Linked DNA regions of Oreochromis niloticus. The protein of the gene in region 1 interacts with the protein of each later gene in a biochemical or structural test. Links are inferred from orthologs where the notes say so. Each region holds a gene or a part of one and is shown on either strand. Other genes may lie near its edges.

Evidence for each region.
Region 2: the proteins of chek2 (region 1) and ppp2r5a form a complex in vitro, tested with the Homo sapiens proteins (2 studies listed by BioGRID and IntAct, with this or other methods). The link is inferred for Oreochromis niloticus from reciprocal best matches to the Homo sapiens genes CHEK2 and PPP2R5A.
Region 3: of the proteins of chek2 (region 1) and atm, one has a biochemical effect on the other in vitro, tested with the Homo sapiens proteins (6 studies listed by BioGRID, with this or other methods). The link is inferred for Oreochromis niloticus from reciprocal best matches to the Homo sapiens genes CHEK2 and ATM.

What each region holds. Positions count from the first base shown.
Region 1 is NC_031977.2:37,554,144-37,565,092, reverse strand, and holds the start of chek2 (serine/threonine-protein kinase Chk2), read right to left. Parts: upstream 4,912-10,949; 5' UTR 4,773-4,911; intron 3,400-4,772; 5' UTR 3,391-3,399; coding exon 3,138-3,390; intron 2,673-3,137; coding exon 2,548-2,672; intron 2,444-2,547; coding exon 2,311-2,443; intron 2,228-2,310; coding exon 2,137-2,227; intron 2,066-2,136; coding exon 1,969-2,065; intron 1,576-1,968; coding exon 1,522-1,575; intron 1,410-1,521; coding exon 1,345-1,409; intron 722-1,344; coding exon 622-721; intron 483-621; coding exon 396-482; intron 329-395; coding exon 165-328; intron 1-164. Other genes in the region: entr1 (endosome-associated-trafficking regulator 1), read left to right, coding at 5,151-5,193, 5,267-5,418, 7,645-7,823, 7,921-8,062, 8,146-8,219, 8,297-8,408, 8,496-8,558, 8,636-8,775 and 1 more. UniProt on the Homo sapiens protein: Serine/threonine-protein kinase which is required for checkpoint-mediated cell cycle arrest, activation of DNA repair and apoptosis in response to the presence of DNA double-strand breaks.
Region 2 is NC_031980.2:13,641,732-13,652,593, forward strand, and holds the start of ppp2r5a (serine/threonine-protein phosphatase 2A 56 kDa regulatory subunit alpha isoform), read left to right. Parts: upstream 1-6,477; 5' UTR 6,478-6,593; intron 6,594-7,190; 5' UTR 7,191-7,379; coding exon 7,380-7,527; intron 7,528-10,862. Other genes in the region: dtl (denticleless protein homolog), read left to right, coding at 74-180, 272-376, 848-960, 1,082-1,171, 1,337-1,460, 1,641-2,299, 3,132-3,197. UniProt on the Homo sapiens protein: The B regulatory subunit might modulate substrate selectivity and catalytic activity, and might also direct the localization of the catalytic enzyme to a particular subcellular compartment.
Region 3 is NC_031979.2:14,484,906-14,495,800, reverse strand, and holds the start of atm (serine-protein kinase ATM), read right to left. Parts: upstream 4,034-10,895; 5' UTR 3,867-4,033; intron 3,653-3,866; 5' UTR 3,629-3,652; coding exon 3,557-3,628; intron 2,740-3,556; coding exon 2,621-2,739; intron 2,368-2,620; coding exon 2,222-2,367; intron 2,046-2,221; coding exon 1,881-2,045; intron 1,790-1,880; coding exon 1,624-1,789; intron 1,524-1,623; coding exon 1,285-1,523; intron 385-1,284; coding exon 215-384; intron 75-214; coding exon 1-74. Other genes in the region: protein NPAT, read left to right, coding at 4,486-4,522, 4,688-4,806, 4,903-4,963, 5,058-5,130, 5,328-5,368, 5,709-5,951, 6,126-6,201, 7,064-7,187 and 6 more.

The DNA.
Region 1 (10,949 bases):
TCTGGCGTGCCGGCAGCGGCTCTGTTTTCATGTGCCGAAGGTAACCAGGCGGGCAAACGAGCAAGTGCACGAGTCGAGGTGGCGCGACAGGCAAATAAACCAAAGTGTTTCCCTGACAACACAAATCATCCATCATCACCCTGCAGCAGGAGGCCCGAGCCTACCAGACGAAGAGCAGCACGCCGAGGCTCCAGGCGTCCACGGCGAGACCGTAACCCGTGGTGGACGCGTGCGTGAACACCTCCGGAGCCAGGTAAGATGGAGTCCCACACAGAGTCCTCATCAGCACCGCTTCCTCCAGGATCCGAGACTGGTTAAAGTCCGTCACCTGACGCACACACAGTCAGTGAGGAGGTGGAGGTGGAGGTGGTGATGCTGCAGGTGAGCGCACGTACCTTGATGAGACACACGTCGTCCTGTGAGGACAGCAGGATGTTCTCCGGCTTCAGGTCTCTGTGGATGATCCCGTTACTGTGGAGATACTACACACACACACACACACACACACACACACACACACAGAGTTACAGTCGCTGCACCTGTGTGTGTGTGTGTGTGTGTGTGTGTGTGTGTGTGTGTGTGTGTGTGTGTGCGCTCTTTACCATAGCAACACCAGCTCACCTGCACAGCACGAAGCATCTGGTAAAAATAAAGTTTGGCAACAGATTCGTTGAGCTGCTGCTTCGACTTCACTCTGTGGAACAGCTCCCCCCCCTCCATCCTGACAGGTGAGACAGACAGGTGAGAGAGAGACACAGGTGAGACAGGTGAGAGAGTGAGGCTACGTCCACACTATCATTTTCAGTCGTTTTCAGAGTTGTGCGTCCACATTGAAACCGCCAAAAACACTTACATTCTGCGCATGTGTGAAACGCAAGACGATTCGGCCTGCCTCATTTCTGTCTGCCGTTTATTTACTTTCCGGCTCTTTGAAACGTCTCTTTGAAAAGCACCGAGTTTTTAAATGGACTAACAATGAGGTGGAGTTGTTGCTGCGAGTAACACAAAAGTACAAAGTTGCAAAAGCGAGTGAGAGTTAAAGAATCTGAAGAAAAGCTGTCTGGAGCATGTACAGACTGATATTAATCTTTGATAGGGCTGCTGTGTAATGCCCTCTGCTAGCTTTGTTTAATTGGTCACATGACTGCATCACATGACTAAAATGTGTCACAGTTTTGGAAAAGCACCGTTTTCAAATGGCGTCGTTTTCCTTGAGCGAAAACGCCGTCTCAGCGTGGACGGGAGGCCAAAACGGAAAGAAAAAGATGCGTTTTCAAACAAAAACGTATTAGTGTGGACGTAGCCTGAGAGACAGGTGAGAGAGACAGGTGGAGTTTAACGCACAGCTCCAACACGATGTAGAAACTTTCCTCCGTCTGATAGAAGTCCTCCGTCTTTATGAGACAAGGCTGCAGGAGACAAGGAGTGAAGAGAAGGAAAGGAAGGATGAGTGTTGTTACTGGCGATAAAGGAGCGTTCCTGTACTTGCGCTTTTTCTTCTTCTTCGTTGGTGTTACTCACGTGGTCGACCCTCTGCAGGATCTCGATCTCCGTCTTTGCATTTCGTGTCGCTGTCTGTGATTGGACAGAAAAATAAGTCACATGATCACCATTGGTTGCTCCCCTTCAACTCTCAAAATAAGGTTGAGATGCCATGTTTGTAGTTCTCTGGGAGGTATCTGTGTTTTCACACCTTGCTGACATGTCATTGGGTTAAACTGAGTTAAATTCAATACCTGATTGGCTGGCACCGGAAATATTTAAATTAAGCAGTGTACTGACAGTTTACCGCCCCCCTGTGGTGATTTCATGCAGTGCACTGTTAGTTTGACAGAGAGGGGCGTCTGCATTTTTGACACTATTAAAATTCATAAATGAACTGACACAATCACACCTGCTGACAAACACGCAGTCGAAAGAAACGAGCAGCGGGTCTCAGCCAATCAGAGAGCAGATGACGCGACTCACCCCTTCAGACTGAAAGTTCTTCTTGTTTATGATTTTCACTGCAAACTTCCTGCAGGTGGATCGCTCGAAAGCCAGCCGGACCTCGCCACACACTCCTCTGAAACACACACAGTCAGCAGGGTGGTACCGGCACAGGAAATGACATCACAACGCCACGAAACAACTCACATGCCAATGCGTCGGGTCAGTAAGTATTTCTCTTGTAGGTCTCTGGGTAAGCTGGACTGATCGTCCGACATCAGGTCGATGAAGACAAACACTGCAGAGAGACAGGAGCAGGAGGTGAGACCGGCGCCAGGGTGTCCAGGTGTTTTCAGGTGCTGCTCTGGTGGGCGGAATCACCTCGGTTTCGTTGTTCAGCCAGAGAGATGACGGCGTTATTGACCAGAGGAAGCTTCTTGTCTTTCCCGATCGGAATCCCATCGAGAAAAGTGCCATTATTACTGAGGTCCTCCACGAAGACCTCCGAGCCCTCCTGACACACACAGGTGGAGAGGGCGACGTTAAAGCCCCGTGAGCGCAGTACTCACAGTACGATCAGTGCTAATATCAGTGGTAGTAGTACTGCAGTAGTCTCACTCTGTAGATCCTGAAGTGTTTCTTGCTGTAGATTCTAAACTTTCTGGAATTTCGGTCATTTGGATCCTCCAGGACGTAGTTACACCTGGAGTCCCGTCCAAACAGGTACTGGTCCTCTATGCAGTCTGTAAACAAACAAACAAACAAACAAACAGGAAGTGCTCCTCTATGCAGTCTTCTCGGCAACCCACCCCCCACCCCCCACCCAGTGGAATTACAAAACCTGCAATTCCGGGATTTTATTTGGATGCTAATTAGCAGCAGCAGCTAGCTCATCCTCTGGTCACTCCATGCTCGAAAAAGGAAGAGGAGTTGAAAAACCAGGATGCCATGTCCATCTTTTATCTACAGTCTAAAGATCAGTCACACCTGAAGCACTGTCTGCTGAACAGAAGTATCCTGATTACTTCATGTGTTGTTTAAAGTATGGAACAGGGGAGCTCGGCTGGCTGATAATGCTAATTCTGCTGCTAATTCTAGTAATTACTAATTCCAGACACAGCACAATATGTTCAGTTTAGTGGAATCTGATTAAGAACAGAGTGAATGGAGAACTAGCCAGCGCGTCGGCGTGTTGTGAGCAGCGGTACCGTGGCTCCTGAAGCCTGGGACCATGGGCAGTAGGCGGCCCCAGGGTTGCGGCTCGGGCTCCTCTGGGACGGACGCGAGCGTTACGGGGATGGTGTCCACGCTGCTCAGAGTCCCCGAGCCACTTGACGACTGACTGGCTGAGGTGGGCCCACTGGATGAACTGGAACCAGGCTGGGACTGGGACTGGGACTTGGCCTGGGACGGGGACAGAGTGGACTGGGTTTGGGACTGAGGTGGCCCCTCTTCAGACATCCTTCAGCTCTGCAGACACATGAGAGACAAAATCAAGAACAAGAGAAGAAGAGTTTGGGTTTCTGCCACAGGTAGTGATGGGTCCTGCAACACTGACGCACCGACACATGTATCAAGCTCACCTAGCGAAGCCTGTATCGGTGCGTGAGTCGCTTTAAGAAAAAGTCACGTGATCGATACAGCTGCTGTATTGCTCATTGCCAACGCGCCAAACTGTGTTTAAAAAGTACCGCATCCGCGTCTGTCAACGGAACGAGACGCCACAAAAAAAAAACAAAAAAACCCCCACAAAATTACTCTCGCAAAGATTAAAAAAACAAAAAACAAAACACATCTCTCCATAACAAAATGGAGCCCGAAAGAAAAAGAAATGTTTCTGCTGTGTGGGATCATTTTGATCTTTTAACCGCAAATAAGGTAATAGTTTGTCTGTCTTTGTTTCAGTGTAATCTATCCTCAGTGTTTAGGCATTACAGAGCCAAACATGAAAATGAGGAGACAAACACACTGAGAATGAACACAGGTCAGCCTATATTGACACTGAACAGCTTTATCATCATTTTTTTTTATTAATATGTGTTTTATTATTTTGAAATCAAGCATCTAGGAAGACTGTTCTGGACCAGACAGTCCTGAATTTTATTATAAAGGACTTCCAACCCCTTAGTATTGTGGAGAGTGTCGGACAGAAACATTCCAAGATCAGAGGATCCTTTAACGTACTGGGGGAATAGGAAGACATCTTATCAGAACCTTTTCCACCTGGCTTTACAGTTTTTGTACCCCAGCTTCATCTGTGCCTGTGAGTTTTCCAAAGCTGGGGAAATGGGGTCAAAAAAACGCAATAGACTGAATGTCAAAGGAGTTTGCAAAGAAATAGACTGAATGCAAAAACACTGAATAAACTTATTTTTCTGAATAGAATTTTATAATAAACTCTGACTCAAATTTATTATTACATTCACAATACTTTCATTTTAATTTTCACTTAGTGTCATTCACAACATATTTTAAAGATGTCTACAATATTTGAAACGTAAAAGATATAAAATGATTCCATGGAAAGTACAATACCTTACAGTGTACAAGTATGACTAGGTCATTGAATCAGTGTCTGTTGTGAGTCTCAAGTAAGTTCCCTGCAATGATATTTACGGTCCAGCAGGTGTCAGTATGGAGCAAAACAGCAACACTGTGTCGACACAGTATCAATACAGTTTGGGGAATGTGCTGAAACGCTTCACGAGGCCTCATCTACCCATCACTAGCCACAGGATCTTGGACATCCGTGGGCTCGTCGTGGCCCCAGAGCACACAGTGCAACATCCCCACGCCCCACTGTGGCAGCAAACACAGACCGCGTGTCCGAGACTCCCACTCACCGTGAAACCGGAACCCCGCCGGTGCTGTCAGTCTCCGCGCGCCTTCTTCTCTGCACTCAGCCGAGCCAGAACCAGCATCCGGGTCTCTGCGCGTCCACGAACCGCATCCACGAACCGCGACACGTGGTTCGATTTCTTGACCGGGACCCTGCGGGACACGCGCTTCCTTGTGGCCTATTTTTTTCTCTGACGTCAGGAAGTAGTTCCAGCCAATGATAAGTCGGAATGTGGATCACGTGCACCGGGAGCCGTCAGCTGGTGTTTCCGGGTTTGGTTTGGTCCGGCAGAGAGGATTCAGAGGCTGATCGATAGTTATGATCGATACGTGAACGGAAGCCAGGGGGCGGAGCGAGCCACGTGTCTGTCTGCGAGTCCGACATGTCTAAACAAAGAGGCAGCAAGACTCTGATCATCACAGACGGTGAGTGTCGGGGGGGAGGTCTGCAGTCTCCATGTGAGCCTCCGTCACAGCTCCAGCTGTTCTGTGTGTGCAGATGAGGAGGTGGAGGAGGTGAAGGAGGAGGCAGAGGAGCTCAACCCGTTCTCCTTCAGAGAGTTTCTGCGCTGGAAGAGCCAGGACCCGGACCCGGAGCAGGCACGCACTGAGGTCAGAGCTGCACAGCTGGAGGTGCACCTCTGTCCTCCGGTAAAGCAGTGAGCACAAACACAGAGCAGGTCTGTGCTCACAGCTGTGACATGCGTGTACATGTGCATATTTAAAAGAGTGACACAAACTTCAAACTGCTGTGCTGTGGCGGTCATGGATGTGATCGCTGTGGGCCGAGCGTGTAATCGACTCACAGCTCAGACTCTGGCTCTGTCCTCAAACCGTCCATCGGTCCCACGCTGAGTGTTCAGCCCACTTCATGCTGCTGAGTAACTGTTCTCATGAAACAGCAGAGATGACCTGAGATCAGCTGCTGTTTCTCAAAATCTGCAGAAAACAGTGACTCCATCACAAACACACGCGTGTCACAGCTGTGAGCACAGACCCACTCTGAGCATCTGCAGTGACACAACACGTGTTTGTGCTCTGTGACGTCATCTGACCCTACCTGCTCCTCCTCCTCTGAACGACCTCCACAAACCAATGAGGTTATAGCACGGCATGGAGTCAGATGTGCGTTTTGTAGTCCAGCTTCTGCTTGTTGTAGTTTCAACACTTTGGGGATCCGGCGTCACGCTGTTAAGCAGACACAAGTGTGAGGTCGTTCCAATTCTCAGCATACCACTTTTCTCTTTTCCTGAGTCCTCACCGGGGTCAAGGAAAAGAGGTTAGGGGATAGGAGACGCTTTGGAACGCCCTGTGGCTGTGTCCACATTCAGGGGTTGCATCCTTGGAAGGACCTACACGGTCTACGTAGGGCGGGTCCTTCCAAGGTCACGAACACCAGAAGTACAGACCTGTTAAAGTGGACAAGCAGTTCCTGTTGCCTAGCAACTGCGACAGTAGCAGCTAGAGCCGTGGCCTTGCCTTGATGCACGCTCAGTCATCCAGGTTAGGAAATCCCAAAAAGCTGGTTGTGTTCATCTGGACGTTTTCAGTGGGAGTTTCATCATCATCAGCTGACTCCTTCAGTGTCAGCTGACTGCAGGTTCCAACCTTATAAACAGGACATCTGCATAACGACTGACACAGCAGAATGGCCCACTCTAACCCACTGATGAGTCCCACTCACAGAGGGTTGGGGAATGGCTGTAGAATGGTGACACATGTTCCCTTAGGCCCCTCCTCCATGCTTCGACATCAACAACCCACTGACAGGTGTCAGTATTTCCACGGCTGCACAGTTTAAAACAGCGTTTCTGTTGCTGCCACAGTGTAACCTGAAGTGTCCATGAAAAGGACCAATCACACCGGGAGCCCGTGCTTCTTTAGGCTCTGCCTACCCACGATAGCATGAAACTGTAGCAGTGCGTTGGTTATGGAATATAATTCCGTACATTTCAGTTCAAATTGAATCCCTGCGACTGTCTCGAAGACAAATATAAATAAACTGCAGCCACAGTCTGAAAGTCACATTTAAACATGTGATCCTTTGTATGTTTCACATAACATGAACATGAACTGATACATGGATATTTATTTATTGGAGAGAAAACTGTGCAACAAACAATATTTGAACTAAATACACTGTGGACCAATCAGAGCTGTGTGTAGTTCCCTGTATTCTGTCTGTCCTGCAGGATAAACATCAGCGAGCGCGTCCCTGCATGCAGCTGGTACAGTTTGTGTTGGACATGCTTCTGCAAATACACGAAGCAAATATCTAGAAACTGTTTCAGTGTTTCCACCGACTGTAGAGATCATCCTCTGCATGTCTCAGCTGCTGCTGCCTCCTCCTCCTCCTCACACGATGTCCCGGTGTATCATCAGGGGTGGAGAGCCTCTGTGCCGTCTCCTCTCTCCTGACTCTGGACTCAACCGTGGCCGTTAACAACAAAGGCAGAAAACTTGATCAAATATCTGTTAACAGATGAAACACACACAGTTTTCTCCTCTAAGCACACGGTCTGTCTGTCTTATCAGTAGTAGCTTATACAGGATGAGAACTTCAGTGCAGCATGGTTGAGTCTGTGTCCTCAGCACAGTCCATGGGCCAGATGTTTGGTCCCCGTAAATACACTTGGCTTACAGCCTGAACGTCTGCTCACTGTAAACGTTGACGTACGTTTGGCTTCACAGCGACAAACCGACCAAAGCTCGTACGACCCGAGCCATGTTAGATATCGCTAACGTCAAGTAACTTAGCTGAAGGTTAGCTGAGTTTAACGTGTTTTCACATTCTTCATTATGCTAACATTCGTCCGTTTCTGGACCGCTTCCCTTTGACCGTCCGCCATTTTTTCCAAAACATTTTTTCAACCTCAGATTCGCAGTGAATCTTGGGATAGCGTGGACCACGAAGGATACACCCGACCCGCCGCACACAGCCTCTGTCTGTCTCATCAGGAGGAGGAGGAGGAGGAGTGGGGGCGGAGCTTCCAGTCAGGCGTTGACAGCACCTCCTCCCTGTGCACAGAGGAGGAAGAAGAAGAGGAGGAGACCAGGTGAGTCTGATGAAGTGCGGGGCGTAAAGACCTCCGAGCAGCTTCTGTGCAGATGAAACTCCACCTGCCGTGAGGTCACCTTCACCTGTGTCACCAGGTTCTCCTCCAAACCTGAAGAAGCTGCAGGCAGAGGTGCAGGAGGAGGAGGAGAGAACTATGAAGGAGATGATGAGACCTCAATGGCTGAGTCAGCCACCTCCTGCAGGAGGAGGAGTACCAGGAGCAGCCAGACGCAACAGGTAACCCAACCACGGAGCGCTTAGTTCAGGGAGCGTGGGACAAAGCAGAACAGGGGTGTTAACAAGCTCCTGTTCTGTCTCAGCTGAAGGAGGAGAACGCAGCGCTGAGGAGGACCGTCAGGGAGCTGCAGAGGAGAGCAGAAGTGAATGAACGCAGGTTTGTACCAACCAATCACAGGACAGAGCCGCCATGTCGCTGACCAATCATTTACCCAGCATGCCCCTGTCTCCCAGGGCGTCGCAGCTCTCGGAGGAGCTGCTGCAGAGGAGGCGTCAGGAGGAGAAGGAGGCCCAGGACCTGGAGAGCATGGTTCACTCTGTGGAGCAGAACCTCCACCTGATGACGGTACACACACACAAACACACACACACAGTGTTTGCATGAACAGGTGTGTGATTGTGTGTAAAAATGCTCTACGTCTGTCCGTGTTAGAGGCGAGCGGTGAAAGCGGAGAATGCCGTTTCCAAACTGAAGGCGGAGCTACAGCAGCTGCAGGTGAGATGGAGAATGAATCATCGATTATCGATAATCTGCTGGCTGTGTGTATCAGCGTGTGTGTGTGTGTGTTTGAGGCCGAGGTTGATTCTCTGCGGGCTGAGAACAGCGGTCTGAAGTCGGCGGAGTCTCAGGTCGTCATGACGATGAGGCAAAATGCTCAGGTGGCATCCGATTACCTGAACAAGATGGCAAGCCACGCCCACTCCTCCATCCGGTCAGTACCTGCAGACACACACAGCCATCAGCCACAACACCAAGCTGTTAATGCTGCTGCTCTCTCTCTCTCACCTGTCTCCCGCCCACCTGTCTCCCTCTTACCTGTGTCTCTCTCTCACTTGTCTCTGTCTCACCTGTCTCTCACCCACCTGTGTCTGTCTCACCCGTCTCTGCAGGCAGCTGCTGGGGGAAGCAGAGACTCTGCGTTTGGTGTCTCAGCTGCTGCAGTCCATCGATAAAATCTCCTCCCTGAACTCAGAGTCCTGAACTCCTTCGGACCTCCTGGTTGTCATGGAAACATCCAGGAGAGGTCTGTCTGTGAGATCAGAGGTCAGCAGGTATTTTATTTTGGAAGGCCCCAGCTGTGCTGACTGCTGATTGGTGGACTCTGTGACTGTGTGAGGGCTGAGCATCATGTTGATTCATAAATTCTGTGATAATAAAGAGCTCTGATGATCGGAGGTGTGCACCACGAAGATGGCTTTTTGGCTAATCCGGGTGACTTCAGGGTTAATGTCAGTTTTCTGAAGGTGGCTGGCCAATCAGCAGCCTTGAACGTAGCGTCACCATTCCTGGAGGATCCCTCGGGCCGCCACGGGGAGAGCGGGAGGGTCTGGAGGCTTCATGCGATGAGCTTCAGTAATCTTTTTTTTTTTCCTGTCGGCACCAAGTTCAAGTTTATTTATATAGCACTTTTAAAACAACATCTGTTGACAAAAGTAGTCAAAGCAGAAAACATAAAATAGGATAAAACAAATTTGAAGCGGTTTCATTGTTTTGTAAACATTCATGTATTCCTGCTGAGCTCATATCAGGTTTAAAAAAATGGTAAATGGCCTGTATTTGTATAGCACTTTACTGGTCCCTAAGGACCCCAAAGCGCTTTACACAACCAGTCATCCACACATTCACACACACATTCACACACTGTGAATGTGTGGTTTGTACTGTTTCCGTTTTTATGTTTGAATCTCTACTCTCGGACCACAAACAGCAGCTGAGACAATAAAAGCTGAAGCTGTCAGGAATGTGCGTGTATTAATGTGCTGCTCGATTGTGATCCGCTGCTGGAAACACCGAATGCACACCTGAAACACCCTTCATCAAGCGCTGGAACAGGAAGCTGTCATGTTTCCATGGATCCGGTTTAATGTTTCAGAGCTTTGATAATTATCTGTGGGAGAAAAGCCACATGATCTGTGACATGCTCCTTTGTGATTGGTCAGACGCTGCAGACGCCACCTCCCCAATGCGCAGATCAAACCCTGGGTTATCTTAGCGAGTTGTAACCGGCTTTATCCTGTTTGCCAGTGTTAGTGTAACATAAGGTAAAGATACCATCTTATAGGTCCCAGCTCTACGGGGGCGTGTCAGAGTGTTTACCTGGATAAATAAGGATGTATGCGTGATTTTTTCCAAAAGCTGATTGCAGCTTCTACCTCGTATAAAACAGGGAAACATCCTCACTGCCAGTGCAGAACTGCAGCTTCCTTATTTGTTGCGTGTCATCGAGAAAAACACGACTGGCTAAAGTGACAACCAGGAAACAAGAACAAGTATATAAGAGAAACCATGATGTCTGATACAGTCGATCAGACGGATCATTACCCACATATACAAAACTATGATACGCAATATAAAACAGGTGACTGGGTGTGTGTCTGTCTGTGTGTGCCCTGTGGTAGACCCGTCCAGGGTGTACCCTGCATCCACAGGCCTGTGGCGTGTCCAGCGGGGTGGCCTGGGGGGCACAGGCCCCCCCCCCCAACCAGACTGGCCACCCCAGGTGCCACCCCGAAGCCAAAACAATAAAATCCAATGAAATATCAAATGTACGATTATGTTTTCACAGTGAAGCTCAGATATCCGAGTGTAAGTGAATGCAGCATCGGCTTCTGCGCTACGAGCATCATGTTAGCAAAGGTAGGAGAGCCAAGCACGAAAGACAGCATCACAGAAAACAGTTTTTCGGCGAAAGATTAACAGTTTAACATAGCTGGACTGGCCATCGAGCATGGCGGAGCTTCCACGGCGGCTAGCAGGTGGATGAGGGAAGGGTAGGCAGGAGGAGGAGAGACCCGAGGCGGCTGCTGGTCCGAGTGTCAGGTGAACTGAACTTCAGGTAAGAAGTATGACCTGCAGTCTATCTGGGTCAGATATAAACCAAGTTTA
Region 2 (10,862 bases), on another chromosome or scaffold:
CTTTTACACATCTGTAAGAGTCTTTACCAGACATTCCCAGTCATTTTTTGTCTCCTTCAATTCCCCTTATCAGATTAATCAAGATGTGGGATTTGAGGAAGAACTACACTGCACACCGTCATGATCCTGTACCCCTGCAGACATATCCGTATCCAGGTTCTTGCACGCGGACGCGACTGGGTTAGTTCCCTAACATGCCGAGCATCACCTTTACCTGAAATGGTGCAAATAACCCACAAATAACCCAGCTGTCTTTTTGCACGTGCTGCAGGATATTCCGGACTCGCTCTGGACTCCTCGAGAGCCAACGTGATGTGTAACTGCACAGACGACAGCATCTATATGTTCAATGTCTGCGGAATAAAAACGACACCAGGTAAAGAAGCTCCTCACTCTGGCTCAACACTGTGTGGATATGCACTAGAATAGGTATTTTTTCTGGTCACCCATTCATCACTAGATGGCGCTAATGCACTTTGTTATAGGGAACAAAGCATCCAGCAGCAGAAGCCTCTTGATGCAAATAAAAGCCGTAGATGCTTTGTTTTCTAGTGTTACATGTTCAAGTCTGATCTGAAGTTCTGAATAGCAGTGGGTTAGGTGGTGTTTGACAGTTTGCAATACAGGAAGCCATTTCAAGATGCATCATGACAGTTTTTTAATGGAAACGAAAGAGGAAAGTGTCACTAAATGTACAGAAACTAGAGGAAAGTTCAGCATTTGTCTTTTTATTGTTATATACACAGTACTTTAGATTCTATTCTTTTATTTGATTGTCCTTAGGCTTGTTTGTTCTCTGATCTTCGTGAATATTTTGCCATTTTAAAGAATTATGTTTCATCCACAGTGGCAGTTTTCAGCGGTCACCAGAACTCCTCGTTTTATGTGAAGTCCAGCGTTAGCCCAGATGACCAGTTCTTGGCCAGCGGCTCAAGTGACAACCACACTTACATTTGGAAGGTGCGTTATTGGCTATATTTTACCTGACGTAATAAAAATTGCTTTATTTTTACTCTGGGTTTTTTTTGTTGTTGAGGAACTGTGAATTTAAGGTTTTTGAACATTTTTTGTTACAATGCAGATCTCCAATCCTGAACTTCCTCCCATGACGCTTCAAGGTCATAGTGAGGAAGTGACGTCTGTTGCATGGTGTCCAACAGATTTCACCAAGGTAAGACATAAGTGGTTATACAAGTATGAACACTGCTGTGAATTGGAGGAGTTTTAATGAGCCGAGAAGCACCTGAACCAGCTGCACTTTGCTGGAAGATGAGGGGCGCTCTGACTTTATTCGATTTAATGAGCTTCTGTATAAAGCCCTCTGCTCTGTTGGCAGATTGCTTCCTGTTCCGATGACCACACTGTGCGCATCTGGCGACTTCACCGAGAAAATGATGAAGTACAGTCATCATTAGGAGAGGCTAACCTAATAGGCCGTGCACGTCCTAAGATTCTCCCAAGTAAGTGCTTCACCTACAATGTATTCTTGTGAATAACTACCATACTGTCATAAAACCATAGAGGTTTCACTTACATTATGTGCATGTGAATTTGTGCATCATCATAAATCACTGCTGTCCTGCAATTAAATACAAAACATGATCACATCTGGACTCAAACTACTCTATTCTGCTACTAAGGGCCTTCCATTCCAGCTGAGACAACCCCTGCCAAGCCCCAGAGGAGAGTGAGCCTTGGTGGCATAGCCTCACCTCAGCCTGCAGCCTGTGCTCCCAGTGGAGCCGCCCTGCCCCTTTCTTCCAGCACCACTACACCCAACTGTTCACAGGACTCTAAAACTGCAGCTGTTCGCCACAGAACTCCACCCACTATCAAACAGTGGTTGTCCCCAAGCAGCAGATCTTCCGAACAGGTTGGCTCTCCAGCCCATCGGGTGCTGAGCCAGTCTCCCCAGAGCTCGGCAAGCAGCACGCCCCCCACAGAACGACGGGCCAAACGCAGGCTGGAAACCGGTGACGGTTCGTCTTCAAACTGTGAGGGCACTGAACAGTGCGACTGCGTTACTGAACTCTCCCCTGCAGCCAAGAGGAGCCGGACCCTCTCTGGTGTTTGCTGCCCAGCTCAGGAGAGCCCAGCACAAACAGACTGCCACACAGAGGACAACAATGCGGCTTCATCCAGACAGACCGACAAGGAGAACTGCTCTCCCAGAGGAGTGAACTGGCTGTCAGTGATGAGCCAGAAGCTGAGGAAAGGTCAAAGAAGCCCTAGAAGTCCCAAAGGTGCCAGAAGTCCCAGTGCTGCTAAGAAACAAGAAAGCAAGACACCAGCATCACCAGTAAGTATAAAACTCACAGGTTTGGGAGTGGATTAACATTCATCTTTTCTCATCTGAAATTATCCTCAGGTTTGGTGCTGTGATGCAAGGGTGGTGTTATATGTAGTTCAGTTATACTGAAACACAACTGGCAGCCGATGAGGTGGAGATTTTAAACTGCAGCTGCCCATCAGCCACCTACAGACGCTGCTTGTTTCCACCTTCTGCTACAGCTGCTGTAGATGGTGGAGTCAAAGCCAGATATGATGCCATTTCTTAAATGATTCAAGGAGCTTTTCAGTAAAATATTCTTTCAGGAAAAGGAACTCATATCAGCACAGACAGCAGGGGTGTCAAAAATAAGGTCCGGGGGCAAAAATCGGCCCAGCAAAGACTCCTGTCAGGCATCACCGAAAGGCTTTAAAAAGTGAATGAGTGCATGGATTTTAAACTCTTATCTGTATTTTCATAGGTTTTAAAGCTTTTCCTATTGATAAAGAGCTCCCCTGTAGCAATTAGTACTAAATCAAAGTAGTTAAGTAATAGAAAAACAATTGAACACCTGTTTTTTTTAAAAATATGTTTATTCCATAGAAAAACGGCAACGCAATGGTCATTTTTCTTAGTCTTAAAGACAGGGATTAAATATTTAGTTAAATGTCTTTCACTGGTCAAGCCCATCAAAGTGGGCTGTATGTAGCACACGATGTAAAATGAGTTTGATATTCCTTACATACTGTAGGCATTGGCACTGATATGTCTGGGTGATTATATTTTTATTACATGTTGTATCCATGCATGTTGTTTTAGCTTTTAAGATGATCCTTTGTTTTTTTTCATTTATGTTTTCCAGAATGTGTGCACCCCTCCAGCCATGAAGAAAATCTCCATGTATTTTACAAAAAGGCCGCTGGATTGACCTGGTTGTACCAAACTTGGTGCTTTTCTTTAAGAGGGTTTTATTCAAGGTGGTTTTTTTAGTGGGACCCAAAAACTATAAGCCTGTCAAGATTACTGAGATCAGAAGAGATCAGTCACTGAACATTTGATGGTGTGGATTTGACATCCAGGGACTGCTTTCCATTTTATTTAAATATGTTCTTTTTTTGGGGGTCTTTTTTTTTTTTTGCCTCCTACAGAATTTTCTTGTGTTGTGCAGAATTTCTGGCTGGCGACTAAAGTTACAAATATGACTACTTCTAGAGATGCTTCAGCATTAAATTGGAGAGTCCACATTTAAAAGGCTGATTAGATTTTAAAAAGTTGATCCTCAAGTGCAGAGAAAAGCATTCGTTCACAGAACAATTTAAAATCTCATTTAAAAATAATCAAGTTACTTGGTTCATATTGTTAAACCTTTTTATGAACCGCACTGTAAGCTGCTCACAGATCAGCTCTATAACATTTGTAAGCCAGCCATCTAAGTCACGTGTTTTCCGTGTATGAGTTTGCTCATTCATGTCGGAGTTGCACACGTGGTTTGCAATATATTTTTTCCTTACTGAGCAAATTTTTTGACTTGTTTATATGTACAGAAGAACCAATGAATGATGCTTGATTTATTTGTATTTAATTGATAAATCTAGCTGTAGTCAAATGTTATTAAACAGTTTTCTGTCTGTGTGCGTATTTGTGTGTATGTGAGGGACAGAGAGGGTCTGATGGGGGAGTGGTGAGAGTTTTAGTCGAGGTAATTAAAAGAGAAAATCTAAAGACCGAAAAACATTCAAACCTAAAAAATTAAATCTCTATCATCTCACACTTTTCTTTAGTTCCCTGCAGATTCGTGTGATTAGTAGTGATTTGTGAGATTAGTGGTTTACAGCTATTTTGTTTAATTTGGACATTCTTCTGCCCCAGAGAGGCAGAAGGTTTTTTTTTAACATGTATGTGTGATAGTAACTTATTATAGCAGCTGTGGTAAAACAGCAGCTGTGCTAAAGGCTTTCAGCGAAGTGACTTCCTCTGATTATAAATGCAGCTGCTTGTCAAAGTTGATTTTAAACAAACTGTATACAGTTTATGATTTTTATATATCGATGCATCAGTGAGCAATAAGCATGTTGAACTGAAGAGTACAAAAACCCAACATAAAAAAAAATAGGTGAGAGAATGATGGTAAGTTATTAAACTTTAAAAAGATGGTATACTGGTATTTGATGGTAGTTAAATAAATTTCAGTCTCTCAGATCACTTTAGAGGAATTTTTGCACGCTCTTCTTAACTGTGTCACTTCAGTTCATCGAGGTTTGTGGGCAAAGTTTATGCACAGCATTTCAGTCATATTGAGGTCTAGACTTTGACTGGGCCATTGCAACACATTGATTCATTTTTTTTCCAGCCATTGCTGTAGATATGGTGCTGTGCTCCTGTTACATATCACAATTTTGGCAAAACTTTAGTTGTCAGACAGATGGCTTCACACTCGACTCTATAATACTTTGGTTTACAAAGGAGTTTGTGGTTGACCCGATGACTTCAAGGTGCCCAGGTCCTGTGGTTGCAAAATAAGCCCAAATCACCCCCCCATTCCAGAATCGTCACTGATAGTTGGTAGGAGATGTTTGTCCTGATATGGTGTGTTTGCTTCTCTCAAAACATGATGCTGTGCATTATGGACAAACCTCTCCACTTTGGTCTTGTCCATCCAGAAGACATTTTCCAAAAGGCTTGAAGTTTGTTCAGATGTAATTTTGTAACCCTAAGCTCTGCTACTATGTTTTCTCCTGGTATGGTAGCACTAATTGTACTGATATGAACTTTAACATTTAGCATGCTTACTGAGACCTGAGATGTAGCTATAGGTGATTTGTAGTTTTGCTGAGCATTGCAGAGTCTGACCTTGGGGTGACTTTGCTGGAACGTCCACTCCTGGGAAGATGTTGGCATTTCTAAATGTTTCAAACCAGCAAACTGCCCAAACCTCTGCTTTTATTGAGATGCTCACACTTGCTGATTATTAGTTTATGAAGTGCAATTGATTGGTAGCACTTGACCACTACTTACCCTCTTAATTCCTGTGGAAACAGTGAGGGACTCCCTAGACTCCTGTTAAAAAATTTTTTTAAAACAATGTTTTGGATCCTTTTTTTTTCTAATGAAAAACTTGTTAACACTTACTGTTCCATTTCCATTATAATAGCAAATACATTTTCAAGTTAATAGATTTACATTTGTAAATTTGGAATTTGAAGAGGAATAAGGTTGTATCCATAGGGGGGAAGAAAATGGTAAAATCTACTACAAGATTAATATAAATAGATTTAAAAAAAAAAAGAAAAAGATAAATGACAATAATTAACATTGAGGATGTTAATTATTAACATCTTTATACAATCCATATTTAGAATTAGGCCAAAGGTTTCAGGACTTAGATCTATGGCACTCTTTTTAATAATTTAGGATATTTAGAATACATTCTTCTAGATTTCTTCTATGTTACTTTTGATGTAAGTGTAGTGATAAAAATAAAACTTTCTTGTCTCTATTACAGACAAAGTAAATGTACTAAAATAGAAACCTAATTTCCTGTGGAAAGGCCCTTATTTTAGGGTTTATACCTGTATTTTATAAACACACACAGCATGTAATGAGGAATGCATCGGGTTAGGGCGTGATACAGGCAGGGCCAAAGAGTGGTGTGAATTCCTAAATAATACAGTTTTCCAGGGTGGAATGACTGGACAGCATACGTCTTTAATGACTTTAAAAAACAAGAACAGGGTGCACAAGTTTGAATTTATTTTGGATTTTCTCTCTGGGGTTATGAGTGTACATACAGGCTCAAATATACACTTAAATCTTTTAATAAGTTTTCGGTGGGAGAAACGTTTCGTCACTCATCCAAGTGACTTCTTCAGTTATTTGTTATCGGAGTTTTTCCAAATGCAATATCTCAGGATCTCTTTTTTTTAATCCTAAAACAATCTGTGGCTTAAAAACTGAAACTATAAGTGGGATAATTCTTTAAAAAGCGCAAAGAAACACGCGGTGACAAATTGAACTCTTATTATATTATCTTATTATTATTTTCAATGTATTGCTACGAGACGTGTCTCAGTTTTTGTTCAACACCACTGCCTGTACAGCATCACCTATTTGTTTTCACATGTCACATGTTCAAGTCCCGCTTTCTGCGCGGCTTGATTGGTTTAAAAAGTTCCAGTTTTTTGAAATTTTCGCCTCTGATTGGCTGTTAGCAGCGTCAATCAGTGACGTACCCCTGTCAGCGCTCCGCAGTCAAGCTCACAGACACACAGTGACGGAGCGGCTGCACTGGGAGTGTTTACGGCTGCCTGCCTCAGCTCGACATCCAGTAATTTGCTGTTTTTGACAATACTCGGTCTTTATCGAGGTCGTGCTAGCGAAACAGTCTCACGCGATTCACTCGGAAGTGTGACGAAGGGTGAAATTTCTCTTAGGTGGATGAGGCTAACTTTCAAGCGCTAAATGAGTCGACGAGCGAAATTTAACTTCATCGATCGCGGATAGTTTTTTTCTCTCAAAAACACACTCAGCAGAATTCTGTCTAGGATTAAACCAGTGCTCGGAGACGCGGAATTTGTGTTTTAACGAAGAGCTGCAAAAAATTAACGGGGCAACTTTCTTTCGTAACTTTTTCCCCCCTCAGCAGCGGTGCAAATTGTTGTAACCGTCAGCTAATTTTTAGCAGGCTAGCTAACTGTCAGCTTAGGTCTACTGTAGACAGCTTCAATCCGGCAATGCATCTCTTATGTTTTGCAACAGGTAGACGTTTTTCGATCACAATGCAGCAGTAAAAAATGTCAGAAATTTAGGAGCTTATTCTTGTCGTGTTGGTCGCTCCGTGCTGTGTAGTGCGGGCGGTGTCGTGTGACTAAATTCGGCTTTTTTCGTATTTTGAAGACTGTCCCCCCTCCTCTGTATTTCATAGAGCAAGATAATGATGCAGTCTTTGGGCACAGCTTAACCTCCGTACCGACCGACCATGTTGGATCATACAAAAATAACACAAGCCTTCTGATGTGAAAAGGGGAAGGAAGCTTTTCGTATGACCTAGGAGATACAGTGCAAAAAAGTGTCAAGGTAGTTTTTTTTTTTTTTTTTAATTTTATGCATCAAAATGTCGGCCATCTCCGCATCAGAGAAAGTGGATGGGTTTACGAGGAAGTCCATGAGGAAGGCACAGAAGCAGAGAAAATCCCAGGGCTCCTCTCAGTATCGCACTCACACCGCTCCGGTCGAGCTCTCCCCGCTGCCGCAGCTCAAAGGTAAGAGGATGAAGGGGTCCGCCGCTTAAAATAGTCTGCCTGTCATGACCGCTGTGTGTGTGTGTGTACACTGTCGGATCCACTGCAGGTACACTGTGCATGCAGCCAGAAATGCATTGCACATTTTAAAGCTGGTCTGTATGCAGAAACCTGCCAAAAAAATGAAGCACATCTATTAACACTTGCAAGCAGCTTGTAAGAGTTGACCACAGGGTGTTTGAAAAGGCTCTGTGCCAAAGTGTGTTAAATTGGTTTTGTATTCTTGGAGAGTTTTGTCAATAGTTGTATTAACATCTCTTGATCCATTGTTTTGTTTTGTTTTGTTTTTGTGCTTGCTGGATGTTGTGTAATGACAAATGCACATCTCCAGAGCCATGTTGTCCGAGTGGCTAAGAAGGATTTATGTATTTGCGTCAAGGTGTTTTGAAGGATCAGTGTCTCCACACCTGATGCACTGATTGTAAAATTGAATTTGGCTTTGATATAAGTTTTGATTTGTCATGTTTTTAGTGTTTATTCCTTGTCTTGTACACACACACAAATAGCTGCCTTTTTTTTTTTTTAAGTCCAGCCAGTACAGCTCTTCATCACTCTACCATTTTATTTTATTTTTTGGCAAGCACTGTCTGTGTAGGGCCTCAGTCAACCAGACCATGATAGTCTTGAGGGTTTGAAAAAGAAGGCATCTGGACTTCTTTAGGTTTGTGAAGAGGTTTCGGCTTTCATCCAAGAAGCTTCTTCAGTTCTAAAACAACTGGTGGAGAGTCCTGGGTAATTAACCCCTAGTGGGGGACTGTCCCCTTTGGAGGTGATTCTGAGCGTCATGTTGACTCACATGATCAATAGTGGGTCAATAACCCTTTTGTCCTCACAAACCTAAAGAAGTCCAGTTACCTTCATGCATTGCATTTTCAAGCTTGTAGGCAGCTGGTTCAGAATGGGCCTTTGATGGGTAAGCGTTTGTCTTGCCTGACTTAACAGAATTTTATGTTTTTTCCCTGTTATCTCTGCCCATTTAATAAACAAATATAATTATTTAAAATATCTGTTTATAAGTTTTCAAATTCTTAAAAATATTAAAAAGAATAATACCGGAAGCTTACTAACAGACTAAATTAACATTGTTACTTTGTGTTGCAGGGGTTCATAGTGCAGTATGATAATTTATAAAAACGATAAAGATTCAATTTTTCAATCAAGCTGATGACCGGTAGCCAGACTTTCTAAAGGAGACCTGCTTTGTTTGACATGGGTGTAGCACATTTTCTAATTCCTTCAGCCACCCAAACTGGAAAGTTGGATGTATCTCAGACTTTTAAGATTGTAGCACAATTTTTCTTGCTAACATTGTCTATAAAGCCTGAGCTTCATAACGACACTTCACACTATTCGAGTCAACCACCCCAAACAATGCTGTAAGAGGGGCAAAAGGAAGCACTCTGTTAAAAGCCTTGATAAGTAACTCAAATATGTGACCCCCAAAAAATCTGTAATCTGTTAGACTGCACAAACTGATGAGATGGATTTCGTTGCTCAATTGGACATTTCACACACAGCGGTGAAGTGCTTTTGAATAATTTATGTAATCTGGTTGGAGAGAAGTGTAGTCTGTGGTAAGTTTTGAATTGTGTCTGTGCCATTTATAGAGAGAGCATGAATATTTCCCAAGGATTTTTAAGGTAAATACCATCTTATTTGATATACCAATTGGTAAGCAAGGATGTTCCTGGCCCATACGGATAATGAGTTGATATATCTGTGCAACCCAACAAAAAAGTGACAGCAGTTTGGCACTACAGACGGTGTGGTTGTTAGTAAATATTTTAGTTTTGATTATGAAATCAATAAGTTGAAATTTACTTTAGAAAATTAAGAATCAACTCCCCCCACAACCAGTGATTCTGTCACCCAAAGGACACAGAAAGGGAATCTGGATTAACACCTGAAAAGTTGTAAGACCCAACTTATCTGTCAGCAATATTGTGTTTGTCAAAGTCAGACCAGCTATGTGGCATAGGGCTAGGTGCAGCTCTGCTTCAGACACACACAGCTATCAGTGCAAGGAGACAAGTGAATGATTTAGCGTAGCTTAATGAGTGGACGTAAGTGGGTGGATATTGGCTGAACAAGTAAAGGTAAATGTTAGTGAGCCATAACAGTTGTCTGATGGCACCAACTCTTCCAGGCTGTTTTGTGTGTAAATAACAGTTAACAGAAACTAATTATACTGTATATGTGAGCTTAATGGTTGCAGCTTGTATCTAAAAGCTCCCCTGTGATTAGACCTGATGAGGGGAAACGCATATTTGAGTGGTTTTATTATGCATGTTTTAAAATTAATATTGGAGCATAGTTTTTGGACAGCTTTGACACCGCTAAGCCATAAAATGTTTGCTTCTGTTGACTCCTGTATGTTGATAATGGCACAGGCTGTTAATAGAGAAGACAACTTTGTGAAAGCTGAAGAAAGACACTGTAATCTTTTTTTTCTTTTCACACTGAGAAGTTTACATAGTGAGCTATTGTAAAGGGATTTCTAGTCCAAATATACTGTAATAAAACTCTTTTGCTAGAGGCAGAATTGCTTCAATACTTAACAAATAAGGATGAGGCAGGGAGTCCCATACACACTCCCATACTTTACTGAACCAATCTCGATATTTAAAGCTCAGTGCTGCAGTTTGTCTCCTGTGATGCTTCACAAGGCTGAAAGGACCAGAGAAAACAAGAACCACCTGTTACATGCTATGACGTTTGTTTTGTACTTGTCTCATTCTCATGTCAGTGACAGCCAGTAAGCACAGCCTCTGACTGCGCAGGAGATAATGCAAGACAGCAAAATGTGATCATCAAGCGAAATGTGACACTGCTTGGTTGAAACACGGGAGGCTGGTATAAAACCTCCTCGAGTCTGTTGTCTGCGTGTTTTAGGTGGAGACGGGCATGTGGGGTGGAGGCCTGGTTGTGTTTGTTATGTTATATGCCTGCCAGTTGTATCACTATACTTGTGTAGACTTTGCAATGTTGTTTTTTTAGCAAGTGTTCTCACCTGACCCCTTCAGAATTAGGTGTTTATTTATATTGTATGGTAAATTTAAGGCTTCATTAAATATACCAAAGTTTTACCTTTTTATAATATGGAAGCTACAGGCCCTCAAAATGCGTAGGTCTGATTAAAAAGTCTCCTTTAGCCTTCATAACTTTATATACAAGGAGTAGACGTGAAATTCTTGCAACTAAAAATACATTTACATTTACAAATTGCAAGCAAATCAATTTTATATCAACTTCAACTCTCACAATCTGAAGTCAACATATATCAGTGCCAATGCACC
Region 3 (10,895 bases), on another chromosome or scaffold:
CTGCCCATCTGTGTGGCTCTGATGGAGGCCTGGGTGACCTCCACGATGTGGGTATCACTGTCATCATTAAACAGCTACAGCAAAAAAAACATACGCGCGTTTAAAGGATTAAATTTGTCCAGACAAACTCCTCTAATGAGCTTCCTCACCGCACTTTTGAGCGAAGCTGAACCTTGATGCACTCGGTGCATACGTGACGTTCGATCTTTCTTACCTGGTGACAGATGTCAGCCGTGAGCTCAATGAGATTGTCTTTGACGGCTATGTGTCTGGTCCCTGTGACGTACTTCCCTCTGCTGCCTATGTGACCGATCTCCCTGACCAACGCGTTGTAGAGGTTGTACAGCAGACTCCGCCACTTGGACCAGTCCTCAGCATGCGCACCTGCAGTATGAGTGAGCGCAGCCACCAGTTATTGGTTATTTATTTAAGGATATTCAAATATTTATGCTCATGACGTTTAAATAACTACTGCCAACAAATGAAAGCAAACCTTGAGTTCAGCCACAGGTTTGCAAAAGCTTATATTTTTGATGTTTTCGCCAGTGAAATTTGAAAGATTGGTGCACTGCGATTAAATTTAAATTAAAGTTTTTTACTTGCTTACTGGTTTCTATCTAACATTCACACACACTCACACACCAATGAATGCATTAGTCTGGAATGCATCGGGAACAACCCGAGATTCAGTATCTTGCCCAAAAAGAAGGTTGGAAGCAGGAGCAGACAGGGATCGAACAACCAACCTTCCAGTCCGCTCTACCTCCTTAGCCACAGCCCCCCAAATACAAACTGAGCATCAGAATGAGGAAGAAAGCTGATTTAATTACTTTGAATGTACCATGCTTGTTGTTGCAAGACATGCTGGTCTGAGTGTTTCAGAAACTGCTGATCTGCTGGGATTTTCCTACATAACCATGTCTGCAGTTTACAGAAAATGATCCAAAAAAGAGGAAATGTCCAGCGAGCGACAGTTTTCTAAGCGAAAATGCTTTTGTGATGTCAAAGATTAAAGGAGAAAGGTTATATTGTTCTAAGAGATAGGAAACTCAAATATGCCCTTCTTAAAACAAAGTGGTTGGATGGTCTTCATCAAGGTGAAGAAGAGCATCTCAAAATGTGCAAGACGTCAAACCTTAAAGCAGATGGGCTACAGCAGCAGAAGACGAACCAGAAAGGAAGGTGTACCTAACAAAGGGTTTGTGAGTGTAGCCTGGCCTCCGACCACTATTAACCACAAACACTGGAAATCAACATTTAAAATTAAGTTTCTAAAAGAAGAACCTGTGTCCTGTGTCTTGGCTCCTTTGGGGTGGTGGACACAAATCTGTAGGTTGAAGAACTCCACAATCTCCTCTTTGAGAGCTGGACTGGGCCTCATGTCTGCCCAGACGTACAGTATGGAAGGCAGAAGCTCCTCTCCCAGTCGACACAGCCTCATCCTACAATTCATGGCTGCAGATCTCAAGAAGATGTTCAGAGCTGAGACAAGGTGCTCCAAAACAGCCAAGTGTTTCTCCTGCCTGATACGATTGATACGAAGAATGCATAGTGTTTAAATTTAGCGACTAATACCGGAACATTTATTCAACGCAAATCTAAAACGGTGTTAAAAGTTTTCACCTGACATTAAGCAGTGCTTTGGAGAAAAAGCTGAACAGCGTGTCATTGAATCCATCGGTCTGCATGCAGCAGCCCTGCACCACCGTGTGGATCACTCTGCTCACCAAAACGCGGTTGATGGGTCTGGACGAGGAGTTGAACAAACCACAGTACAAGTCCAAAAGATCTAAGGATCAAGAATAAACACAGATCCATCAATTCTTACTTTTGTCTGCTTCCTCATGTTTATAAAATAAAACTCCAAATAGCCCACTGACTATGCCACTGTTGTGGAGCGATGTCACACCAGTACTTGCGGACAGAGAGGATGTCCTTTACAAGGAGGCTGCTATAATCTTCTCCATAGGCTGAACAGCAGTACGAACTCTGCAGAACCTCCAGCACATGTTTCAGCAGCTCACTGCACTTCAGACGAGGCCCGCCTGGAGGAAGAAGAGGACACTCTTAACTGCAGTCCCCACAGTTCATTCAATATTTTTTCTACTGTGTCTGATGAATTAATGAAAGATACTTATAAATATAAAGATACATGAATGTTCCCTAATTTATTACGACATACATTCACCCAAAACATATTGCAACCTGCTCCTGCTCTTACGTTTGTTAGCACAGCGAATGAAGTATTTGATCAGGCTGCATATTTCAGCCATCTTCTTCTGCCGCGTGGCCAGCGTGGTTGCCGTGACGTTGGATTTGCTTGATTGCATGCTTTCCGTCTCCTTTTGGACATAGCGCTGCAGAAACCTGATGCAAGAAATGCCAAGCAGAATAAAGAGCATTCATTTATAGAAGCCACTTGTTCCGGTACATGGGCTAACTTTAGCTAAAATCATTTATGAGTTACGAGCATGTTGCAGAATATGAAATAAGAGCAAATACTTATTTAAGAACTTTTCAAAAGATGCAAAAAGGTAGAAAATAGTCCCTTCTCTGGAAACACCTTATAGATATATACATTTTGTATTTATATGGTTGCAAATACTCTGATGCAGGTTACCTGAAAACAGCATCCCATGTGAGTTGCTTGGAAGCTTTTGCTTTAGCTGATGAGTTACGATCGAGTTCTTGCACAATCTCTGGAGATCGAAGGAGCCGTCTGAAGTGCTCAGCTTCTTTCTGATAATAATTACGAGATGAAATAAAAAGCATTTACAACGCATTGATTAAAAAAACATTAAAATCAATTCAGGTTTATTTAATTATGGACAATTCCCCACAAAATTCACTTCAAAGCTCTTTATACTGTAAGTTAAAGACCCAACGGTATTGGAGAAAACCCCAACAATCAAGCGACCCAATACGAGCAGGCACTTAGCGAGGGTGGGATGAAAACCCCCCATTTTAACAGGAAGAACCAGGATTTGAAATTCTGTTCAATAAATACGCATAATGTGTCACAACTGAGAACTTGTGGGGCTATACAGACCATTAACATACCAAGATGACTGGCAGATCCTATTTTGTTTTTGTTGCTACTCGTGCCAGGAAAGTAAATAAACCTTTATTTAGAAAAATTACTGATTTTAGAGTCTTTCAGCTATTCATCGCACTGCCTTTGTACACTTATAAAGTGCAAAATTGATGTGGTGCAAGCCACAGGCAAATTGCATCTTATTTGCAAGTGGGCAGGACAGATGCTGATGCTCAGCAGATGTATAAGCGATGCAATCTGAGCTTCTGACTGAGTTCAATATTTTACAGTAAGAAGAGCCCTGATTTGAAGGTAGTAACTAAAAGAAGTGAATTAAAGGATAACTGTGGTTGTTACTGGTGTTGGGCTGCTTTGCCATGATAACTGGACAACAGTGTTAGTTATCCTCTGTTATTTTAAAATAAGCTAAATAGGGAGTTGTTTAACCTATTTAAAGTACATTGAATCGCCTATGAATTCATTTATTTGGACAACTGATAGGCAGTAGTTCGTCTTTTTCACCTTCCTCTCTGTAGCTTTGTCATTCTCGAGTGCTCTGCAGCAGGCCAGGAGATCATGAAGAGCCAGGCTCATTGTGCCTCACCGTGGATGTACACACTGGAGGGACAGGATGTTGACAAAAGTTGTTACTCATCCGCTTTATACCTACACTATTATTACTTAGTAGACATTGTAGATTTCTACCATTCGACCCACACTTTATTCACTGCTTCACTGCTCATGCAAACTACTTTAGCAACACGAAACTGGCAGATTAAGCTTTTAACTTCATTCACAAATGTCCATTCAAACACCTGCGCTGTTCACTGACCTCAGATGACTGCAGTGATTGCAGTTGCGGAGTTGTCACACTTGCAGGTGCAGATGTTAGCTGAGTTAAGGCACACCGCTACTGTACCTGCCATGACAACTTTGCCATCTTGTAGAGCCACACGCACGCACGCACACGTAACCCACGCATAAAATATTCCCGCCCCAGCAGCAAGGCTCAACTGCTCACATCACTTCCTTCTTATGCCTGGTATTGAGTGAGTCCATTCACTTTTCTATCAGCATGAAAATAAACCTAATGTTTTTAATAGGTATTGTGTTATTGAAGTGGTATACGACATGCTGAAGTCACGTTCAACCTATAAATTACAGTATATATATGTAAGACACTATAGAACGTTATCCAGATTGACTTTTTCTATTTGGACTACAACTACCACAATTCTAATCGATAGCTTGGTCTTGGTACTTCCGGGTTATACGTGCTTGAGTTCCCCGCCTTTTGAGTATAGAAGCAGTATTGTGAAGACGTCGCCTTCACAATAATATCACTGACGTGGTTTCATTTCAGACAGTTTTTCGAGCTTCTCGGAGACTTTTCCTGAACATGGAGTTACCTTTTCACATTTGAGGCCGCTTTTACCAACAAGTAGTCGGTCATGTTGCTACCGTCTGACGTCGCTCGGCTTGTTTTGGGTAAGTCTGGTCGTCCATAGCAGACGAGTAGCTGTGGGGTTAGCCAGCAATGACAGTCGAGTGTAAATGGGTAGCTTTAGTCTCACAGCCTTAACGGTTGATTGGGCTGCAGTTGGAGGGTAACTGTTACTGCTGACTAAGGTGCTACTAATGTCCTTCCGCTAGGGTACCTCCAAGAAGAGGGGCTGTCAGCTACAAGCCAAGCTTTCATTCATGAGAGCCCCAACCTGAAAGAGTATGCCGAGCACACCACAGGAGATGGGACTATTCCTGCTTGCGTTTTTGTAAGTGTGCCTTCCTCCCTCTTGTAAGCCGCCTCCACAGCCTGAACTGTCATGATGGCAGCTGACTGCATTTCTGTTTAATCTTTCCTCACACAGTCCATCTTTGGGAAGAGCCTGACGACCATTTTAAATGAGTATGTAGCTGCTAAAACAAAAGGTAAGCCATCCAGAGGATGTCTTTAGTATTTTATAACCGATTATTGTTCATATGTCATGGTTTTGTTGCTGATGATTACTCATATTTTCAACAGAGTCTTGTCATGAGGTTCCCGTCGTGATGACTTCATTGTGGAAAAAGCTGGATTTTACACTCAACCAGATTAAGTAATGAGCTTCACTAATAATTGTGTGATAGCATAGGATGCATTGGGCTGATTTTGAAAAATGATTTCATATCGTTTTCTATTGTTGATTGGTATGTTGTTGTGAGACGAATCATAAACATCTGCTGCTGTGTTTCTCAATGCTAAAACTTGGTGCAGTGAATTAATATGTGAATATTTTTCTGCATCTTTCCTTAGGTCATTGCAGAATTCCCCTGCTATATCAGCATGTCAGAGAAGTAAGTTTGTCAGGTTGTTTGTTGTTATGTAATGGGCTAATACGTGGTGATGTAGCCGAAAGCATCAGGTTTAATGCATTGATGCATTTATGTAGAAATATACCTATAACGTAGGAACAGAAACTGTTTGAAAAGGGACTTCCCTAATCATGAGCTTATTGTGATTATAGTTGCCTGTTCCTAAAACCTCAGGAACTGGCATGTTACCCAATTAACTTCTGAATTGTCTATACATCAAATTGGGAAATTGGCACCATGATTACTTACAGTTGTCAAACAGTGCCTCAGCGTTCAGGTTTTATATGTAACCTATTTACTTATCAGCTTCTGTGTGTTGCAGCACGTTCACGTGTTGGATTGGCAAACATGGCTAGACAGCGGGTCCTTGCCGTGGCTTCTGCGGGTGGTGTTGTCTGTTCATCGGTTTCTGAGACGAGCACCATCATCAGCCCAGCGCACACCTCCCACAGCATGCTTGCCCACTCCACCCCAGTGTGCTACAGTGGTCTGAACAGCAGACCAGCATCTGGCAGTGGCACAAGCCAGCATATTCATGACAGCAGCCGATTAATGACTACACCCAGTCAGTAATATAACACACAACTGAGTACAAATGCTAAAGTAAAGTGATGCTAAGATCACAGCTTTTTAAGGAGATAGCAACGCTCTATGAGCTCATTATTCATTTAATGCACACATACTAACTAAGTATTAAATGTAGTTTTTAATAATAAATATTCAAACTTGTTCATTACAGGGGATTCACCCGTGCAGATCATTGTTTCAGAGCATCGGCTAAATCCAGGCCCAATGTCTCCTGGTCGAAGGAAATGGTAAGAATAGTTGTTAATGCTTTACTATAGGTGTTATTACATAAACATCTGTCCAGAGTGCTAAAGACAGACTAATCTAAAGTGGATGGAAAAATTAGCTTTCATTGTACACAAATTGTGCATGGACCTTGCTGTTACAATGACTTTACAGTACCACTGAGTAAACCTTTCGCATTGCAGAAAATGTGACTAATGATTGCAGAAACAACAAACATGTACTTGGTGTGTTGCATAATCCAGAATGTTAATGATTCAGTAGCTTTTCTTGCTAAGGATTCGTCAAACTTCACAGGGTGTTTACCGTAAAATGAGAGTTGTGATCCTGAGCACAAAAAAAATACATCAGTTGGGGATTGTGTTGATTCAGTTCTGACCAATCTAGAAGGAGTAGTGATCCTTCTGAACTGTGGATGGAGAGGACATCAGATGCCATGTCATAAACTAATCGGTCCTTTGGCTGGTTGAGCTAAAAAAAAATGCTGATTGTAGTGAATTTCACATGACATTAATCAGTCACAAGACTGTGTCACTGTTTATCTAAATGACTCAATATCAGTATGTTGTTCCTTAATGTGTGTACACACTGGAAGCAGTCCGCAGTGATATAGCCATCAGAGACCATAGAAAGTGATATTTGGCGACTTCAAGGGACTGCGACGAAAAGAACATGCTTTTGATGCAAAGTGGGCAGGACCGCCGATAACCATGTGTACTCAACCTGGAATGTTGTCTGTGCTGGGTCACCCCAACTTGATTGATTAATTAGATCTTCAGCATGTGATATTTCTGTTTAACAGTGACTTTATTGTGCTGTTATTGTTATTCCCATGGTTTGTTTAAAATGTTTTTCTGTTGTCTTCAGGGACACCCCCAGGAAGAGAAGTGGTGCTCTGAGTGGCTCCAGTGCCCCTGGCAGATCTGCTACACCTGCTGGCAGCAGCAGTGCAGAACCCCAACCTGAAGAGGTTGTTGATGAAAACTTCCCTGTAAGTATGTCAGTAATGCTAGGTTTCCTAATCACAGAGACAAGTTAAAGACTACACTTCAATCACATATTAACAAATCCACTGACATTGTTGTTTAAAACCTTGTTGATCTGCTGAATGGTCATATATCACTATGTGTCTCTAGATACAAAGAAAAATTACTTTATTGCATCAGAAATGACATACTCTCTGTTTCATCTCACTCTTTACAGCAGCTTGTGATACAAAACGCACGTGACAAGATACTGGGTGACAGGTCATTACAAGAGAAGCTTGCTGAAAACATCAACAAAATCCTTGCAAAGTAATTAACGCAACAGGACTCTTCATTTTGTGTGCACTTGGATGTATTGTGCACAGTTTTTGATAATGACTGTGCTGTTTCCTACTCTGTTTCATCACTACTATCAGTGAGCCAGTGCCCCAAACATCAAAGGGTTCTTCAAGTACAGTGGAGACAGACCAGTCTATAGATGAAATACTAGGATTACAGGTGATTTATTTTTCTTTTTTCCTAAAATTTAGCTTGTAGTGTTTTCACTTTTTCTGTGTAATTTACCAGTATTCACTCACGTATACAGGGGGAAATTCATATGAGTGACGACGCCATCCATGACATTTTGGAGCAAACTGAGTCCGACCCAGCTTTTCAGGCTCTCTTTGACCTCTTTGACTGCAGTAACTATGACCTCATTTACTTTAATGTCTTTTCCTTTAAATAATGGTTCGCAACTGTCTGTAACAGTTTAACTAAAGAACTATTGTAAGACTTTTTATAAATTTATGTTTGCAGATAAAACTAAATTCACAGATGGAGAAGCAGGAGATGGCGATACGAGCAGTAGTCCAGAAGAGACCGATACTGCTGGACCTACATCTGCAATCAGACTCCTTCAAAATATTGATACAGGTAGTCTGTCATAATCTAAACGTTGAAAAGGCAGCATAAATGCCTACAGGAAGTCTGGAAGGGGCTTAAAGGTGTAAGGCTTAAGCTTCTTGAGCTTCTAACAGTTGGTAAACTGTGTAAAACAAAGTCAAAAATTGAAAAGTACGTATAATTATTCCTAATTTAAGAACTGAAATGAACTGGAGGAAAATACTAGCCATGACAAAGAGGTGGAGTGCACTTTCAGACAATCTCTCCTGCAAGACGTTCATGGTGTTGTTGAGAATGGTGGGGAAAAAGAGAGTGGTTGTCAGCTGGTTACAGGAACAGCCCTGCCACTTGGACTTCATAAAACCTGGAAACATCAATAATGAAATTATAGTAAAAATCCAAAAGTTTTTCCAAGTTTAAATAACTTTCTATGAGAGGTCGAGCATTTTATCATTTCTGCTAACAATGGAGACAAATGAATAGTTGAACTCTGTTTCTATTTTCAGGTGCCACACACAGTGATTCACCTGCTTCAGATACAACACCAATGACGGTGAAGACGAAACCTGGGCAAGAGCGAAAGACAAGAAAGTCCGCTCCTCCAACACTGTTAAAGAAAACAGTTCTTGGTCCCAATGGCAGATCATCCAGGATTGAAAACAGTTCAGCCAGACTGATAGTGAGTCAAGGGGATCCCCGAGGTGTCTCAAGTGCTCCAACAAACTCAAACAGAAAAGAAAAAGATCCAATTTTCACTAACACTGTCAATGAAACACCAATGGATATTGATGAACCACTGAATACACCTCCCCCTCCTCCTTTGGACAGTTTGGCCACTCAGGAGCCTCCCACAAAGGACAGCACTTCTGTCTCACCTGTCTTTGGTGAATCTTCCACAGTCCCCTCGCCAGTGGACTCTGGTGCTTTTCTTGAGCCAGAGGAAACATTGGCCTCAAATATGAACAACCAACAAGAACCTAAACAATCACAAGAGTTTAAAGATCAACCTGGTGCAGCTGGAGCATCATCTTTGCCTCCCGAACAAGTTCAGCTGAACATCACTCCAGCGCCCGCCGCTGACCTACCTCAAATATTAGTCTCAAACAGTGGAGGAGATACTCTACCAGTGTCTACTTTCTCAGTAATATCAAAATCTGTCTTAAAAACATCCTCTTCTACAGATGCTACAGCTTCAGCAGCCTCACCCTCATCTGCTTTTATTGCTGCCCCATCTACTGCAACACCTGCCGCACCAACGTGTGCTTCTACCACTGCGAGTCCAAGAGCTGCACATGCCTCATTCACAGCTGCCTCACCCGCATCCTCGTCCTCCTCCTGTGCCCCCGTTGCCCCTCCTCCTGCAGCTTCAGTTGCAACAACAGCTGATCTGTTAACCACAAGCATCCAAAACACAGCTGCAACAGACTCCAGTAATGTCATGTCTTTGAAAATAATCATAAGTGATAACCAAGATGAAGGTTCTTCCAGTGACACAGCCTTAAACCAGGCAATTTCCAGCATTTCTGGAGACAAGATTCCCACCATTTACGTTTCCTCCCCAGCTAAGTCGGTAGGATGCCCTGAAACTCCAAAGGCCAACATGGATGAGGTGGCACAGGCAGTTAGTGGATTACAAAGGTCTGAGGCATTTGCTAGTCCTCTGAGCAGCAAGGCTGGAGCAGTAACTGCATCTCCACTAACTGGGACGTCACAGGCCCAGCAGAGCTATATAATTCAACTACCCCTGGATGCCACTAACCCTGCCATCCAAGGAGCCAGCTATTTCCTTGTAACAGAGCCCCAATCTACCGAAGCTGAAGGCAGACAGGTGGTGCTGCCTGCTGGTGTCTCAAACAGACAGCCTTTGCCCACAAATCAATATGCAGTGACAACACCAACTCGCTCTACAAGTTACTCCACTGGTAAGAGACAGAAGGCTGCAAAACTGACATAATTTTCCACATTATTGCACTGATTACAGTCCAAAATATTGAAAGTAAAGTTTTTCTGGCAGAAAATTGCAGGGACATTGTGGTTAAGCATAGTTTTTGTTTGCTTGTTTGTTTGTTTGCTTGTTTGGTTTTGAGTTATTAATGGCAACAAGGCATGTCCCCATGTTTAATCCTTTTCCTTCACTTTCAGTAACTTTCTCAGTATCATAATTATCAGACAATGACATCTGTGCTCCTGTTTGAAGGGTCAGCACTCGTCCTGCCATCACCCGTGAAGCCCATGATGCTTCCTGTTTCTGTTGTAGGACCGAATCCTGTGGGGAAAGTGCAGATGGTGTCCAATCAAGTAAGATCATTTTATTGTTAGTCGGAGCATGTGGTTTGCGGTTAAAAGCATTTCCTTTCTTATCATTTTAACCAGAATGATGGAGTGAGAAAAGCTTTATTTGTTTATTTATTTTTTGAGACACTTTCAGACCAAATTGGCCACTAAGTAGGGATGGGTATCGTTTAGGTTTTATCCGATACCAGTACCAAACCGGTACTTTTGAAACGGTGCCGGTGCTTAAACAGTGCTCGAGCCGGTGCTTAAAGAATGAAGAACACAAACTTTGTCCAAAAACCTCTCATGTTTAGCTGTTTTTTTTGTAAAAAGATAACAATGTTAGCCTTTTCTGCAGCTATAGGGCATATATGGTCTCACTCTTGGCTGGAAGCAGTGCTTAAACAATGGGAAAACACAAACTTTGTCCAAAAACCTCTCATGTTTAACTGTTTCCCACTTTTTCTTTGGTCATTTTAGCCTTTTTGGCCAGGGTGAAGGGAGTATCTGCCATCAAACAAGAAGACAGCCGCATGTAACTACGACGGTGTTTG